4 linked regions of the Saccharomyces cerevisiae S288C genome follow. Changing the gene in region 2 together with the main gene of any one other region gives a genetic interaction. Each region holds a gene or a part of one and is shown on either strand. Other genes may lie near its edges. The genes, in order: PPH3, DUN1, IXR1 and PMR1.

Region 1 (3,370 bases), 320 kb from region 2:
CCGATTGTTGTATGCCTTCTAACGAATTACACACCAATTGAATGCCAAAATTAGTCTTGCCAATGCCCGGAGGCCCAAATATTTCGTAGATCGACCTTGCCTGGAATCCCAGGTTTAATATCTCATCTAATCCTGTGATGCCGCTACTTAATGGCTTTGGACTTTCTACTATTAATTGGGAAAGTGGTATACCAAGCGACATATTTTCATATTATATATTATTAATAAGTTCTTTTCCTTATCTAAAAGCTTTCCTTAATGTACTTGACATCTTTGATAGCGGAGCTTATTATTAGTTAGTCATGCTACTATGTATTTTTTTCTATTTTTCATATCAAACGCGATGAGAAGAGAACACGTGAAGAACTTAGGGGACCTCCGCATCTATAACATATTCTACTGAAGAAAAAAAGGAATAAAAAATAAAAGAAGAAACGGTAGCTGGGTATATATTAGTATTCAAAAGCCATATTGTTAATTAGCTAAGATGTGAAAAGAAGTATGTAATATTACAATTTTTTTTCCTTTATTGCATTATGAAGAAAAAAAGAAAAATGCACTTGACAATTAGAGTGCCTGTTAAAAATTTATAAGAAATAGTCCATTTGAGATTTTTTGGTTGGAATTATAGCATTTCCGACTTCATTTTGTGCCTGAACAGCTTCAAAAATTGTATATTCACGATTCAAATCGTCGTCTATCTTCAATACAGCTGCTACATTACCACAACGATAACAGTAATTCGGTGCCGACCAGACTGTCACTAATCCACCGTCGAACATTTCTTTGTAACCTTCCATCACTAACTGATGAGCTCTAGCAATTAACTCAACGTTGTTTTTCTCTAAGAATTGATCAACTTCTCTTTTACCGAAAAGAAATCCAGCACCTCTTGGTGATAATGACCATGTGTCAACGTCTTCGGGGTCGCTCCATAATAAGTCACACATAGCACCTTCATGTGGAACTTCTTGTTTCCTGTCTATTGTTCGTATTTCATCAACCGTGGTCATATCCGGAGATAATCCACCATGAACACAGAATATGCTATTGTTTATTATTGCCCCCAATGATAAATAATCAAAAACTTCACAGCAGTACCTCCATACGTTACTATTACCATATTTTCTTACTACTTCATCGTAAAATCCGTATACTTTAGTAATTTGCCGGGTTTCGTGATTGCCTCTAATTAAAGTAATCCTATCAGGATATCTTAATTTGTAACATAGTAAAAGTAAAAAACTCTCCAATGAGTAAAATCCCCTATCCACAAAATCGCCCAAGAAAATATACCTTGTTTTCTCTACACCACCACTCTTTTCGAAGAGCGTTAGTAGATCGTGTAATTGGCCATGTATATCACCGCATATTGTAACCGGTGTATCGACTTGTGTTACATTGCCTTCATTCATTAATAGTTCCTGTGAATTTAAACATAGCCTAAAAACGGTTTCTTCAGGAATATGTTTTCCGTCTCTCAGTGATGCTATAATCTTATCTAAGTCCATCATATCTCCCTTGAAATTTGTAATCACTTTTTTCGTGCTGTTTTACTTTGCTACGTGGACTAGCGTGTGACTACAAGTTAAAGTGTCCTGAATTGCAAAAGAAAAAGCTGAGAGGTTAACGTATAAAGAGAAAAGACCTCTGGTAGTACCCTCTTTTACCTACCGCTGTTTCGACGTGCTCTTTTCGAGATGCCGTTCTTCTCCTCAGTTCACATGATAAAGATACTTTTTTTCAATTAATTCATCGATTTTTTTTCTTCCCGCCGGACATTGTATTAAATTTCTTTTTCTCATTAATAAAACAAAGAACAATGATATTTATTAAAAACCGTTTAATAGTAAGGATAATAGTGAGAAGTTACATATCATATAAAGTTATTACATATTGGAAGTTTATAAAAATATAATGTGTATGTAAATCTTCGAAAATGGTGGGTTGAGACTATTATATATATGCCTTCGTCGCAACACCACATATTGACTGTTCAAATACAATACAAAGAAAAAAATAAAGCATGAAGGAGTAAGACGTAAGATGTCTGTCTAGTCATAACCATTTCGTTAAAAAGGGTGTTTCAAACCTTTGCGCCGGTGTAAGAAGCCGATCTTTTCATAACATAAGCTTTAGATGCTAGCTTTGATTTCAAACTGCTCTCACTATTCTTGACATGACCTCTGGAATCCAGGTCGACCGTACCAGCACTTTGGAAGAGAGAGACATCACCAACAAGTAAACCTAAAGTCTCCAGGACTTGCTGAGGATCGGTTAAATGAGCCTTTGCGACAGTTTTCTTGGATGCAGATCCCACAGTGACAGGATAGAATCCGTAGTTGCCCCATTGATTTTTTTGGTCAGGATATTTTTCTTTCCAACAAGTTTCAATGGTATTCAACTGTCTAAACATGTCTTCGTCAGTGAAGTCATCACCCAAACATAATACAAAATCAGGCATTTCATCCTTAGGTAGTTTTTCACTGATTCCCTTCAACATGTCCTGTGGTTTGCCATGTTGATGCCAGACTAGTCTCTTGACTATTTCACCTTTGTTGACGAATCTTGGACGAACTTCAATGTTTGCTTTACCATCCATGACCTCTAAATCAAAGTCATCAGTAAATGATAACAATTTTTCTTTCAGTTCTTTGGCGTGGAATTCACCCAATTCTGGAACGGTACGTCTATAATGCCAAGTTAGAGCGACTTTCTTTCTTTCGATGAATGAACCTGGGGTCCTTGTGGTAAATTCTTCCATCACTTCATTGACGCGTACTTGCCAAGACATATCAACTTTTTCGGTCAAATTGACCCAATCTTGGCAAGAAACATCTTTCATGAAACATCCATGCTCCGCACTTAGACCCAGTTGAGGAAGTTTACCGCCTAACCACTTGTTCAAAAACTTCTGGTCACGACCAGAAATAATCCAGATTTGATTATGAGGATCAGCACATAATTTTTGTAGAATTGTATAAAGTCTTGCCGATGGAATAGCTGCAGCTGGGTCTTTGACAATTGGGGTCAAAGTACCATCGTAATCAAAAAGGAACAATCTACGCTTAGCCTGCTTGTAATTTTCTAAAAGAACAGGTCTATTAAGTGCTGGAGTCATTTTCCTTTCCATATCATCATTAGATGACGCCTGTTCCTTTAATGAACTCAAAAACTTATTAGTCCAATCTTGAATTGTAGGAACTTCTTTCCATAATTTTGATTCTAAATTGGACTTTTCTTCCTTGTCCAATTTCAAAGCCATGTTAATAGATTTAGCCACGGCCACCGAATCCCATGGGTTAACCACAATGGCATCTTTCAATACGTTACTAGAGCCAGAAAACTCACTTAAGATCAATGGATTTCC
Region 2 (3,633 bases):
CGAACGGTATGTTCGTTGTGAAATCCATTAAAATTAACACAGGCTCTCAAAAAGGAGGCTTGATGAGCTTTATTAAAAAAGTTGAGGCTTGTAAAAGTTGTAAAGGTCCGTTGAGGAAAGGTGAAGGCCCTCTTTGTTCAAACTGTCTAGCAAGGTCTGGAGAATTATACATAAAGGCATTATACGATGTCAGAGATTTAGAGGAAAAATACTCAAGATTATGGACACAATGCCAAAGGTGCGCTGGTAACTTACATAGTGAAGTTTTGTGTTCAAATAAGAACTGTGACATTTTTTATATGCGGGTTAAGGTTAAAAAAGAGCTGCAGGAGAAAGTAGAACAATTAAGCAAATGGTAAAAAACGATAGGGTGGCACATCATATTAGGATTAAGAAAGGCTAACAACTTTTTGCATGTTGGTGGATATATATGTATATATAAATAGATACTTGGAAAAATCCAGATTCAAACAATGTTTTTGAAATAATGCTTCTCATGTTTAGAGGCAAGATAATTCTGAGTATGTTTTGGGTATTTTATTGTCAGTAATTTGTAAACGCTGCAATTCTAATGAGACCGAGCTTTGTTGCTGTATGTCATTGAACCAAGGGTGGTTCAAAGCTTCATCTATATTGTACCTTTCATCAGGATTTAGGACCAAAAGATTGGATATTAAATGTAGTACTGAGTCATCGATTTTATCCCAGTACGGAGAGTAAAACGCATACTTAGCTTGTAAGATCTGTTCCTTCAATGAAGGTGGCCCCAATTGATCACTGAATGGAGGAAAACCACATAAACAGACATATAATATGACACCAGCACTCCAAAGATCTACTTTTGATGTGTATCCTTTCTTTGTGAGGACTTCGGGCGCTACATAAGAAGGCGTACCACAAAGTGTGTTTGTGAATTGCATTTCTCCTGTAAATTTTGCTAGGCCAAAATCCGCTATTTTAACTTGAATATCAATTTCATCTTCATCCCATGGGCCAAGTTGGACTTGACTTGGATTTTCGCGCCTTGTTATATTTAATAAGATATTTTCTGGCTTGATGTCTCTGTGAATGATGTTTTGCTCATGCAGATACTTCAATCCGGTAAGTAACTGTTTGAATAGAGCTTTGGATTCATCCTGTCTCAAACATGTTTTTCTGACGATTCTTTCAAATAGTTCGCCATCGTCGATCTTTTCCAGTACCAAATATTTTTGAATCTGAGATTTGCTGATTGGCTCTACAAAACTATCTAGTAAGTTGACAATGTTTGGATGTTGCACTCTCATTAGGATGTTAGTTTCCTCCCTAAATTGTTTATTCTTTTTTTGGTCGTCATTTTGCTGAGCGTGGAATATTTTCACAGCTACTTGCTGACCAGTTTTTTTGTTTTTGGCTTCTTTCACCAGGGCGTAGTGCCCTGCACCTAATTCTTTACCTAATAAATATTTATCAAAGAACGACACAGGCCTTGTCTTATTCAGTTTTCTAATTGCGGCACTCGTTGTAGCATTTTGGCTACTTGTAGCACTTATTTGCGGTTTCTTGAAAACTTCGTCGTCGTTCTTATATGAACGACTTTCTGAACTTACCTTTTCATCGTCATTTTCGATGTCAGTAGAAGATGAAGATGCGTACTTGAACAAAAAGGAGCAACTTTTGCCAAAGACAATTCTGTCACCATTCTTAAGGATGTAGTCTTTCTTCACCAAACGATTACCATTAATAAAAGTTCCGTTTCTGCTCTTATCGATAACATTAATCAAATTTCTTTGGAAATTATCCACATCCATTTGCAGTAGATGAAACTCAGCATGGAAAGTCGAGATGTCAGGCTCACTCAATATAACGTCGCACGACCTACTTCTACCGATTGTAGTAACGTTTCTATTTGTTATTTCCACTTTTTGCTCCTTTCCGGGTATTAAGTTCACCAGATGGCCCAGACAAGTGTATTCTGAGCTGGGCTTATTACTTCGTTGCTGTCTTTTGAATGAAGAGTCAGTTACATCACCAGAGTGCTCTCTTTTCGTGGACAAACTCATCTTCACTATAATTGCCTTTTTTACTGTATGTTAAGCCCCTTTACTTGTTACTCTCGACTATAAAGGGTTCTCATTTCCTCCTTTTTCAACAATATCTAATAATTTTCCAAAATCATTTGAAAAATACCATGGAAATAAAATGGAAAAAAGTAAACAAACGCGTCGCGTCACGTAATTTTTTTCTTTTCACACACATACCATCGTATTACTATTTTTTCTATGGTTATATGTCGTATGTATCTATTTATGGTATTCAGGGGCTTCTATTCCTTATCTTCTAACTCATAAATGACTTTGCCATCAGTAATAGGGTTATATTCTTTGTTTAGGAACTGTGAGAACTTTGTTAAGTTATTTAAGCCTCTGATTTCTCCAGCACATAATGGCATTTTAACGACATGGAAATCTTCGTACAATTCGTCGATTTGGTCCAAGTACTTCTTTTGCATCTTCCATCTTGCCTGACATCTCTTACAGTTGTGCTCTTGATCGTTTTCAGCAAATAATAATTGGTTGACAATGATGGAATTAACGTCCATATCGTAGGAAATCAATTCCTGAATTAGTCTTTCAGTTTCATATAAGGATAAGAATTCACTGATACAAACGCAAACAAAAGTCGTTAGGTCAGGATCCGTGAATTGTTGTCTGATGGTCTCGACATTAGCCTTTAACTCGTTCAATTTTCCAGAGATATCGACATTACCTGCGCCCATAAAAGAGTTTAGCATTGGGCCCAATTTGTTGGTAATTTCACCGAACTTTTCCAAAAGCTTGGATAAAGTATTTGGTAGTTGTAGAAATCTTAATGTGTGGCCAGTTGGAGCAGTGTCAAAAATAACAGTATCGAAGGTTTCACCTTCGCCCTGTTCTTGCCTTTTAATGTGCTTCATGACTTCCATGAAGGATAAAGCTTCGTCGATACCAGGGATGGAACCGGTCAAATCAGCAAGAGCACCACCTTGAAGCAAGCTTCCTAGATCGTCACCTTGACCGTCACTTCCGTTATTGTTAGCGCGTGAAACTGCCATGTCGTTCATATCCTTCAAAGCAGCGGATGGATCGATTTCCATACATGATAGATTATTCATGCCTGTCACCTTTCTGGCGTCTTTACCAAATTTCTCACCGAATGCATCACTTAAGTTATGGGCAGGATCAGTAGAGATCAGTAGGAACTGTTTGTTTGGTTGACTCAAAGCCATTTGGATAGCAATGGAACATGATGAAGTAGTCTTACCAACACCACCTTTACCACCAACGAAAATCCACTTATGAGTGGTAGAGGTAATTAAAGAGTGCAAATTAGGTTCCACGGTTAAATCCATAATTACAATGTGATGATCTTCTTGTTCTTGTCGTACGTTTTCCTAAACGCTGCGTTGGCTTCCCTCAACTTGTTTGAAGTTGCCACCGTTTTATCCATTTTCGCTTTTGAAAAAAAAAAAATGGTTGAGAATCCCCAGCACTATTAATTAGTACTATTGTTACGAAGATCTTGTGATAAAAAAGGGATGTAATAATTTGCATTGAACCAACCTGAATTGAGCAAGTTTATCATATAGTTACAATGTCTGAACAGGAGTCTGAT
Region 3 (4,238 bases), on a different chromosome or scaffold from region 2:
TTGATGTAATAAATTTTGTCTGCTTTGTAACGAGTGTTTCTGACATGTTTCAAACATATTTTATGTGTAAGTTGATAAGTCGCCCTTGTGTATCGTACAACTATGCCACTTTAAAATGATCAATTTTACAGATTAATAGGTTTCGTGGTCTAGTCGGTTATGGCATCTGCTTAACACGCAGAACGTCCCCAGTTCGATCCTGGGCGAAATCAATTAATTTTTTTGGCTTCATCACGCTCGTCAGTTGAGCTCGCACAGCATCAGAGGCAAACTTGAATTTGGCTTAAGTATATTACAAAAACAAGAAGGAGGGAAGACTACACACATGCGTATATGTATACAGGCAAATACATATAGACTGAAGTTAGAAAAAGGGAAAGAAAAATTATTATTAAATAAAGTAAAATTTGTAGTAATAGGAAATAGAGTAGTACAATATAAAACAAATGTTGAAAAAGGAATTCCTTATTCTCGTTGTTTGCGTGGGATAATGTTACAGTGGAAAACTAAAGTTGTTTATTTGTTATTCATTTTTTATGATCGAACCATTTGTAGTGGGGTCAGCCAATAACATGTGTTGTTGTTGTTGCTGCTGTTGTTGTTGTTGTTGGAGCGGCTGCTGCTGTAATGAAATCGGAGGAGAAACGGGCGTATTTGGGTTGGTACTGTTACTGTTGCTTCCGGTAACTGAGTCGATGGCATTTGCGGTTATGTGCTCGATACTGTCTTGGTTCTCCATGATTTTAGTGTCCATATTCAAATTCATGTTCATGGCCTTATGTGAGTGACCGGTTGGGTTACCGTTTGGATCATTTTCGTCGGGATAACAACTTTCCCATTCCTTTAATCTTTTCTTGTAAGTTTCAGTGTATTCCGCCTTTTTGGCAGGGTCTAACTCGCGCCATCTTTCACCGATTATCTTGGTAATTTCGATTAAACCTTTATCAGGATTTTCCTTGACGACGGTAGGTCTAATCTCCTGGGTGAACTGAATAAAGGGACCAGAGGGTCTCTTTGGGGGCAAAGTCTTTTCGTAAGCATCTCTCACAACTCTGTACTTCTCCCAGTTGGTTCTGAATTCTTCGTAGAATGGTTTTTTTTGATCATCCGTTAACTCTTTCCACCTTGCAGAAGCCAATTTAGACAATTCGGGGACCTTTGCTTCAGGGAATTGTTGAAGCAACTCATTTCTTATGGACATAGAAAACAGGAAATAAGCGGAAGAAGGTCTCTTTGGGCCTTGCTTTTTCAGTTGTTTTCTTCTCTCAATTCTGCTTTGAGTGGAAGATAATTTCTTCACCACTGGATGCTGTTGTTGCTGCTGTTGCTGTTGTAGATGATGATGTTGTTGTTGAAGTTGTTGTTGTTGTTGCAACTGGTGTTGCTGTTGTAGCTGCTGCTGTTGCTGCAACTGCTGTTGTTGTTGTAATTGCAGCTGTTGCTGCATCTGCTGCTGGTGGTGAGTCAATTGAGGTTGCAGATTGGGTGGTAACAAACCAGGATGAGTAGCGGTGTTGGCATTTCCTGCAGCATTTCCTGCAGAGGAAGGGTCCAAAAGACTAGACAGAGCGTTCATGTTGTTCGGGTAGTATCTCTGCACCTGTGGGAGCTGAGACAAGTACGAAGCCGGGCCAGCAGCATTGTTTGCGGCGGCCGCAGCAGCCGTGGCAGGGTTTAATTGGGAGGCTGCCAGCTGGGCAGGATTACTGCTAGTGCTGTTATTGCCGCTACTAACATTGTTGTTGTTACTGTTGTTGTTACTAGACGCGCCTGTACCCGTGACAGAAGGGTTTGTCTGTTTTTGAGTTAAATGACTTAAAAAGGAGTTGTAAAACTCGGAAAATTGTTGTTGATTGATCGTCGGATAGTTTTGGCCCGATCCGGTTTGTTGCATGTAACCGAAATCCTGAGGTAGCGCGTTAACATTAACATTGTTGTTTGAATTTGAGTTCGAATTAGCATACTGTTGTTGTTGTTGTTGCTGTTGTTGTTGTTGCGACTGCGAAGTAGGTTGCGTCAAAGATTGTGGAGGTAGTGGATAATAAACATTTTGCTGTTGTTGTTGAGGCGACTGCTGGAAGTGACCTTGATAAGGCGCTTGTTGTTGTTGCTGTTGTTGCTGCTGCTGCTGCTGTTGTTGTTGTTGAGGCTGGGCTTGAAACTGGTTCAAGTATTGGTGAGGTGTCTGGTGAGAAGCATCTCTGTACTGGGAGTCGTTGTGTTCGAGACCCTGATACTGCAGCGAATGGTCTTGGCCTATGTTGAGTAAGTTGGAGTTAGAGGCGTCGTCCTGTTTGGGCGAGATACCGGTGTTCATTGCAGTTGTGGGTACTGTTAGCGTCGTACGTATATCACAGAATGGATAGAAGAAGGGGATATAGTTGTGGTCTTGCCTTGACTTGCGTTGCCTTGCCTTGTCTGTGTGTAATAGAGTTCTTTGTGGGATATCAGAGCGAATAAACTTCAGCGTCACAGTCTCGGTAGCAGTAGCTGTTAGGCAGTGACCTAGCAGTAGAGGAAACAGAATACAATGCAGTACGATTACGGTACAGAGGATAACGAAGTAAACCACATTTACAGCGAGAACGAGAGACAGAAGGAGAGAGAGAACGAATGCGCCGGGCCGTGTCTATACTTGGCTCCACCAGCTGATGTGTGCATTTTTTTTTTGTTCCCATTCGTTCTCTCACCAAGGGGAGGTGGAAAAGAAAAGAAGAAAAAGAAAGTAAGGAAGGTCCGCTGCGCCTCTCCTTTGCTGCTGTTGCATCCGGACATCACACCCAACACAAAACCCCGCGCGGCCGTCGTCAGTAACCGTTCCACCCATTCCTCCACGGTATGTAGATCGCTAAGCACGATGTGTATGTTTTATGGATATGTGCCGATTTTTTCCGCATTTGGTATCATATTTTGTTTTGATAATTACCGTTCTTGTTATTGCTAGTTGCTTGGGTTAATGTTCTTGTGCTATTGTTGCTGTTGTTATTGTTTTTATTATTGTATTATTGTATTATTATTATATTATTATTATTATTATTATTATTATTATTATTACGGTATGTCAAGTATTATTTTTTTTTTAAAAATAAAGAAAAAAATTGTACAAATATATATATTTATATATTACTCTATATGGTTTTTTTTTTTTAAGTGCAGGCGTTGGTTATGCTTCGTCTACAATTGGTTGGTGTGCACCGATGGGTCATGTTGGACCTTGATCATAGGTCTGTACACAGGCTCCCACATTTGGGCTTTGACCCACTGTAAACATTCGTCAAAGTCACGAGGAACCTTGACAGTTTCGCCGGGAGCTCCTCCCGGTACTTGTTCTTGCTCGATACGGGCGGTTCCCTCCTCGAGTGCTTGCAAGATCACAGCGGTAGCTAGACGCGCAGAAGTGTTGGTGATGGTGTCCAGGCCGGGTAGCAACCCAGGTCTCGAGTCGCCCTCTCTTAGTGGCGACAATTCGGCTAGTTGGTCCACTGCAGCGGAGATCATCTTGTCTGTGATGGTGGTGGCACGCGATAGTACGGCACCTAAACCGATACCTGGGAAAGAGTAACAATTGTTGTTCTCCGAGATACGGTAACCATCAACAGGTGGGAAAGGAGATCCGGTAGCTACAAGAGCGTTGTTGTTGGTCCACTTCATTAAATCGGCAGGAACGGCTTCGTGTAGTCTAGTAGGGTTGGATAATGGGAAAATGATCGGTCTAGGATTGTGCTTGTGCATTTCTTCTACGACATCTTGAGTGAATGCGCCTGCTTGTGTGGAGCAGCCAACCAAACACGTTGGTTTGACGTTCTCCACCACATCATGTAAAGAGCGGGTGTTGATACCAGCCCATTCCGCATCACTCTTAGCGTATACGTGTTGGGCGGGAGTGGAGTTAGCCTCGTAAGATTGTAGAATTAACCCACGTCTGTCCATCAAGAAGATTTTCTTGCGCGCTTCTTCCTTGTCAACGCCGTGCGTGACCATATGATTCACAATTTGATCTGCGATACCGAGGCCCGCAGACCCGGCACCGTAAATAAGCACTCTGGTGTCTTTCAAGTCTCTGTTGGTATGTTTCAAAGCAGCAATCAACGAGGCCATCACGACGGCACCGGTGCCCTGAATGTCATCGTTGAATGATGGCAATTCGTACCTGTACTTTTCTAGTAATCTTCTAGCGTTCTTAACACCGAAATCTTCGAAATGCAGAACGGCGCTTGGATACACTTTCTTAACGGCCT
Region 4 (5,250 bases), on a different chromosome or scaffold from region 2:
ATTCCGACTTACAATCTAAGATCTTTAATGAACCCGATTTTTCTTCGAAAACTTTCATCATCGAAAGACTTGGCCAATCTGGTGAAGAAATACAGACTAACTTGTTTGCAGCTTTAAGAAAAGTGGATGAAAATGATAAAGTAGACCTAATATTTGTCGAAGGTATAAATGAGGAAGGAGAAGGATTAGCTGTTATGAACAGATTGCGAAAGGCGGCTGCAAATAATTGTATACAGTTTTAAATAAAACTGTGATTAACTTTTGAAAATCATAACCACTGATTACGGAGATTTTATATCTAGTCCGGAAAAAGAAGGAAAGAATAAAATTTTATATTGCTTTGTATATACGAAAAGTCGCCCATACATGTTTATCTTAGTATCCGTTGTAAATATATGTACATATATACATCTACATATGTTCCCATTAATTAGTACATTTACCTCAATAGGGTTGGGCGTCCTCATGAAAGATAAAGGGAAGGAAGGAAAAACGATAAAAGCACAAAATGTGACATATCAAACATTTGAGAAATACGTTGAGTCTTCTTCATTCTTTTTCCTCGTCCACAATTTTCTCAATTCATCAACGATGAAAACGCTACTGCTGATGAGCAATAACAATAGTATATCAGAGATACCAAGTTTCTCAGTTTTAAAGATACTTTGGAAAAATGGTATATATATAGCGCACATTTGACCTAACAGAGACAGTCCAACGGCGTAGTTGAACATTTTGTTCGTGAAAAAGCCGATTTCGAAGATTGACTTTGTGTTATGTCTGCAGGCCAAAGCATTAAACATATCAAAAAAAACAAAACAAGTAAATGTCATAGTAGTATCTCTAGCAGTTACTTTACCATCTTCGGCCATCTCTTTAACAAAAATGTAAACTGTCCCAACGATGATACAGGCCGCGGTGGTTAGTAAACGTTTCATTACATCATGGGTCAAAATTTTATCGGTACGTTTTCTTGGAGGTTTTTTCATAACTTCATGATCAACAGGTTCCACACCTAAGGATTGAGCTGGTGGCCCATCCATTAAAATATTTATCCAAAGAATTTGCATTGCGTTCAGTGGATTGGGTAGTTTAAACGCTGTAGATAGTGCAACTAATGATAGTGCGGCAACAGAAGTAGACAATTGAAAAGTCAGGAAATTCTGAATATTATTAAAGATACCTTTACCCTCTTCAATGGCAGTTAAAATAGTACTGAAGTCATCATCAGTTAAGACCATATCTGAGGCTTCTTTGGCTACATCTGTACCAATTCTACCCATAGAAACACCAATATCTGAAAGTTTCAACGCAGGAGCGTCGTTAACACCATCACCAGTCATTGCTACCACATCACCCCTCTTTCTTAATGCACGAACAATGTTTAACTTATGCTCAGGCGTAGCACGAGCAAAAATATTAACGTGGTCGATGACATTGGCCAGTTGATCATCTGACATTTCATCTAATTTATCACCGGATAAAACGGAAAGCTTTGGATCAATAACTGGAATACCAATTTGTTTTGCAATGTTTACTGCGGTATTCTCAGAATCACCAGTGATCATAATAATATGGACACCACCTTGTAGTAATTGTTCGATGGCAAATTTAACGTTCGGTCTTGGTGGGTCATTCATACCGATTAAACCAGTAAAGGTTAAATCTTTGATTAGGTCTTCGGTTAGAGGAGTTGATGAATCAGACAAAGTTAGTTTAGCAAATCCAAAGACACGCAAACCTTCAGATGCCATAGAATTTGCGCACTCATTTATCGTAGCTTTTTGGGCTTCAGTCAACTTTTCAGTTTTTTTACCCTTTGATTTCAAATAACTTGTGGAGTACTCAAGAATTCTTTCAAATGCACCTTTAACATAAACTGTACACTTATTGTCGACAGGGTTGAGAATCTTGGTTGCCATTAATTTTCTTTTCGAGTTAAATGGAAGTTCCTGAACTTTTTGAACGGTGTTTCTGATATCAGGCATTTCAAAGTTTGCCAATTGCTCTAAAAGAGCTACATCAGTAGGATTTCCCAGAAATATGGCATGTTCTTGAGAGAAAGATGCATTATTACAGAGATTACCGATAGTTAGAGTTTCCCTAACGTCTTCAGTCAAATAGTTTTTCAAATTTCCATTAGAATTTTTAGTCTTCTTATTTTTGTCTAATGAGAGGACGTTTAGCTTATTGGACATACTGTCCAAGCACCAAAGTTTAGATACGGTCATGTGGTTTGAGGTTAGTGTACCTGTTTTGTCGGAGCAGATAACGTTGACAGAGCCTAAAGTTTCGACACTTGGTAACCTTCTCACGATGGCTTTACGCTTGGCCATTCTCAGAACACCCAATGCCAAAGTAACAGTGACAATAATTGGTAACCCTTCTGGAATAGCAGCAACCGCTAAGGATACCGATATTTGGAACATTTCTAACCAAGATCTACCTTGTATGATACCAACTAAACAAATCATACCAATAACTATGAAGCTAACCAGTGACAAGTCCTTTCCCAATTTGTCCATTGTTAACTGCAATGGAGTCTTCGGTTTTTCAATATTATTCATCATTTCAAAAACGGCACCAAAGGATGTGTTTGTACCTGTTCCTACGACGATACCCTTACCATGACCTTCCTTGACTAATGTACCCATATAAGCTATACAAGATCTCTCAGAAATCGGTACAATTGAATTAGGCTGATCGTTAAAGGAAGATTTTTCGATCGTTTGTGAGGTTTTATGTACCGGTTCATTTTCACCAGTTAAATTACTTTCATCGATGGATAAATCGATTGCTTCAATAATTCTAATGTCTGCGGGGATTCTGTCACCTATTCTGAAGTGCACTAAATCACCAGGAACCAAGGTGGAAGCCAGTACATGACTCTCTTGACCACATCTCATTAAGTGACATTCAGCAGGAACCAATTTATTCAACGCTTCTAGAGATTTTTCAGACCTATATTCTTGGACAAAACCGACAGTGACAACTATGAAAATGGCCAGTGTGATACTAACAGCATCATCAATGTTACCCATAAAAAGAGAGACCACTGCGGATCCTATTAAAAGTAGAATCATTCGATCCTCAATGAAATTTGACAAGAACTTCTTGAAAAGACTTTCATCATCTTCTACGGTTATTTCATTGGGGCCATAAAGTGATCTCCTATTGTTGGCCTCGTTAGATGATCGTAAACCACCGTTTTTGTCAGTGTCCAGTTTTTCTAGAGCTTCGTCCACGGATAAAGTACAATACTCTAAAGAAGGGCTTGGTTTCGAAAGGGCCTCTGCTGTGGCATCTAGTATTTCTCTCTCACGGTTTGAGTCCTCGTCAAGAAGACTCGCATTAAATGGATTGTCACTCATAATTATCTTATCTTTTACTTACACTTAAGCTTACGTCTGTGCTGGCCTTGCTTCGTCTTGTCTTGCCCAGTCGTAAGGATATTATTATAGTTACTAGTATTGTTATAAATGGGAATGGAAAGAACGGGGCGAGCAAACACTATTATGATGGTGTAGAAAAAGAGGTTTTTCTATTAAGTGCTTGAAGGAAGGGCTATAGTGTACGATGGCCTAGGGAACAAGATCTCGATATAACGATAGGTAGGGTCCACACTGTTAACAAAAAAAGTACTTCTTTAAATAGAGAATCTTGTCTTGATGTAACAAAATGAAAAAAAAAAAAAATGCAACTAGAATGTAGAATACAAAAGTTTAACGATCGGCTTTGCTGTTAAGTGGTTATCTAGGGATGAGCTGAACGTGCAATTGATACCAACCGATCCTTGCTAGGAACGCAACTCTTTTCACCCACCTTCCACCACTACGATCGTGAAAGAATATTTGCTAAGAAAATCGCCAAAACGAGGCGAAGTCGCCAGGGTGCGCGGGCACGCAGGGTAAGAGCCGCAAGGCCTGGTTCGGTAAGTATTAAGCTGTGGACGAAATAGCAGTAGCCATGGCGATGTAATTTATTAGACGGCGGCTTGATAAAAGAGGACTGATAATCAGTGTATTCACAGAATGGTCGTAATTAACGGGGTCAAATATGCCTGTGAAACGTGTATCAGGGGTCACAGGGCGGCGCAGTGTACTCACACTGATGGTCCGCTACAGATGATCAGACGCAAGGGAAGACCATCGACCACATGTGGCCATTGTAAAGAGCTGAGAAGAACCAAGAACTTCAACCCATCCGGTGGGTGCATGTGTGCCTCTGCACGACGGCCAGCTGTTGGCAGCAAGGAAGATGAAACACGATGTCGTTGTGATGAGGGTGAACCTTGTAAATGTCATACCAAGAGGAAAAGCAGCCGGAAATCAAAGGGAGGGTCATGCCACAGAAGGGCAAATGATGAAGCAGCGCATGTCAATGGTCTCGGTATTGCAGATCTGGACGTTCTTTTGGGCCTAAATGGTCGCTCGTCGGATGTAGACATGACAACCACATTGCCGAGTTTGAAGCCACCTCTGCAAAACGGAGAAATTAAGGCCGACAGCATTGACAATCTTGATTTGGCTTCCCTCGATCCGCTTGAGCAAAGCCCTAGTATATCTATGGAACCTGTTAGTATCAATGAAACAGGAAGCGCATATACAACTACGAACACAGCACTAAACGATATTGACATTCCATTCTCCATCAATGAGTTGAACGAGCTATACAAACAAGTATCTTCGCATAACTCACATTCACAATAATGCATCTGGACATCTATATAAATATACATATACATATATTGGCGGTTGTTTGTTCTCCCGGCAAGCTGGCAGTCGGGCCGAGATTCGGATAAATTTTTCCATTCGTATACATATACATAGATATATACAATTATAAAATTTGTCCAAGGCTGCACAGGATACGTAACCATCCTAAAGTTTTAGGTTTTTTAACTTTTTTTCTGTCTCTTCAATTGTCGAATTGCTTATTCTATCCTTTCTGGAGTTCGTATTTTCATCGTTCAAATATATAGATAACCTTTCATCACTCACTTCCAATATACTTTTCTGATCGTTACTTTGTAAGGACGTCAGCCGAATGATGTACTCCAGTAGTGTGATCGACGAATCCTTGTCCTCCAATTTATTTTCTTCTTCTTCTTCTTCCTTTCGTTCTTCTCCGTCTTTTCCTTCCTCTTCGTCCTCCTCTTCATCTTCCTCTTCATCTTCCTCTATCGCTTCATATCCGCTTACCGCATACCAAGTAATGTCATCGAGTAATCCCTTGTCTCCTTCACTGCTC

What was found.
Region 1: mutations in DUN1 (region 2) and PPH3 together harm fitness more than expected from each alone (negative genetic interaction), as found in Saccharomyces cerevisiae (7 studies listed by BioGRID, with this or other methods).
Region 3: mutations in DUN1 (region 2) and IXR1 together harm fitness more than expected from each alone (negative genetic interaction), as found in Saccharomyces cerevisiae (7 studies listed by BioGRID, with this or other methods).
Region 4: mutations in DUN1 (region 2) and PMR1 together harm fitness more than expected from each alone (negative genetic interaction), as found in Saccharomyces cerevisiae (5 studies listed by BioGRID, with this or other methods).

Annotation. Positions count from the first base shown.
Region 1 is NC_001136.10:595,300-598,669, reverse strand, and holds PPH3 (phosphoprotein phosphatase PP4 catalytic subunit PPH3), read right to left. Parts: upstream 1,515-3,370; coding exon 588-1,514; downstream 1-587. Other genes in the region: putative DNA-dependent ATPase RAD55, read right to left, coding at 1-202; trehalose-phosphatase TPS2, read right to left, coding at 2,087-3,370. UniProt on the Saccharomyces cerevisiae protein: Forms the histone H2A phosphatase complex in association with the regulatory subunits PSY2 and PSY4, which dephosphorylates H2AS128ph (gamma-H2A) that has been displaced from sites of DNA lesions in the double-stranded DNA break repair process.
Region 2 is NC_001136.10:279,807-283,439, forward strand, and holds DUN1 (serine/threonine protein kinase DUN1), read right to left. Parts: upstream 2,043-3,633; coding exon 501-2,042; downstream 1-500. Other genes in the region: DNA-directed DNA polymerase delta POL3, read left to right, coding at 1-359; guanine nucleotide exchange factor GET3, read right to left, coding at 2,306-3,370; BUG1 (Bug1p), read left to right, coding at 3,613-3,633. UniProt on the Saccharomyces cerevisiae protein: Transducer of the DNA damage signal. Phosphorylates SML1 on serine residues. Cooperates with the PAN deadenylation complex in the regulation of RAD5 mRNA levels and cell survival in response to replicational stress.
Region 3 is NC_001143.9:379,542-383,779, forward strand, and holds IXR1 (DNA-binding transcription repressor IXR1), read right to left. Parts: upstream 2,318-4,238; coding exon 524-2,317; downstream 1-523. Other genes in the region: MAE1 (malate dehydrogenase (oxaloacetate-decarboxylating)), read right to left, coding at 3,175-4,238. UniProt on the Saccharomyces cerevisiae protein: Binds to platinated DNA and confers sensitivity to the anticancer drug cisplatin. Activate the expression of the COX5B gene.
Region 4 is NC_001139.9:187,098-192,347, forward strand, and holds PMR1 (Ca(2+)/Mn(2+)-transporting P-type ATPase PMR1), read right to left. Parts: upstream 3,372-5,250; coding exon 519-3,371; downstream 1-518. Other genes in the region: SUA5 (threonylcarbamoyladenylate synthase), read left to right, coding at 1-242; HUR1 (Hur1p), read left to right, coding at 367-699; CUP2 (Cup2p), read left to right, coding at 4,032-4,709; YRB30 (Yrb30p), read right to left, coding at 4,881-5,250. UniProt on the Saccharomyces cerevisiae protein: This magnesium-dependent enzyme catalyzes the hydrolysis of ATP coupled with the transport of calcium. Has a role in the secretory pathway.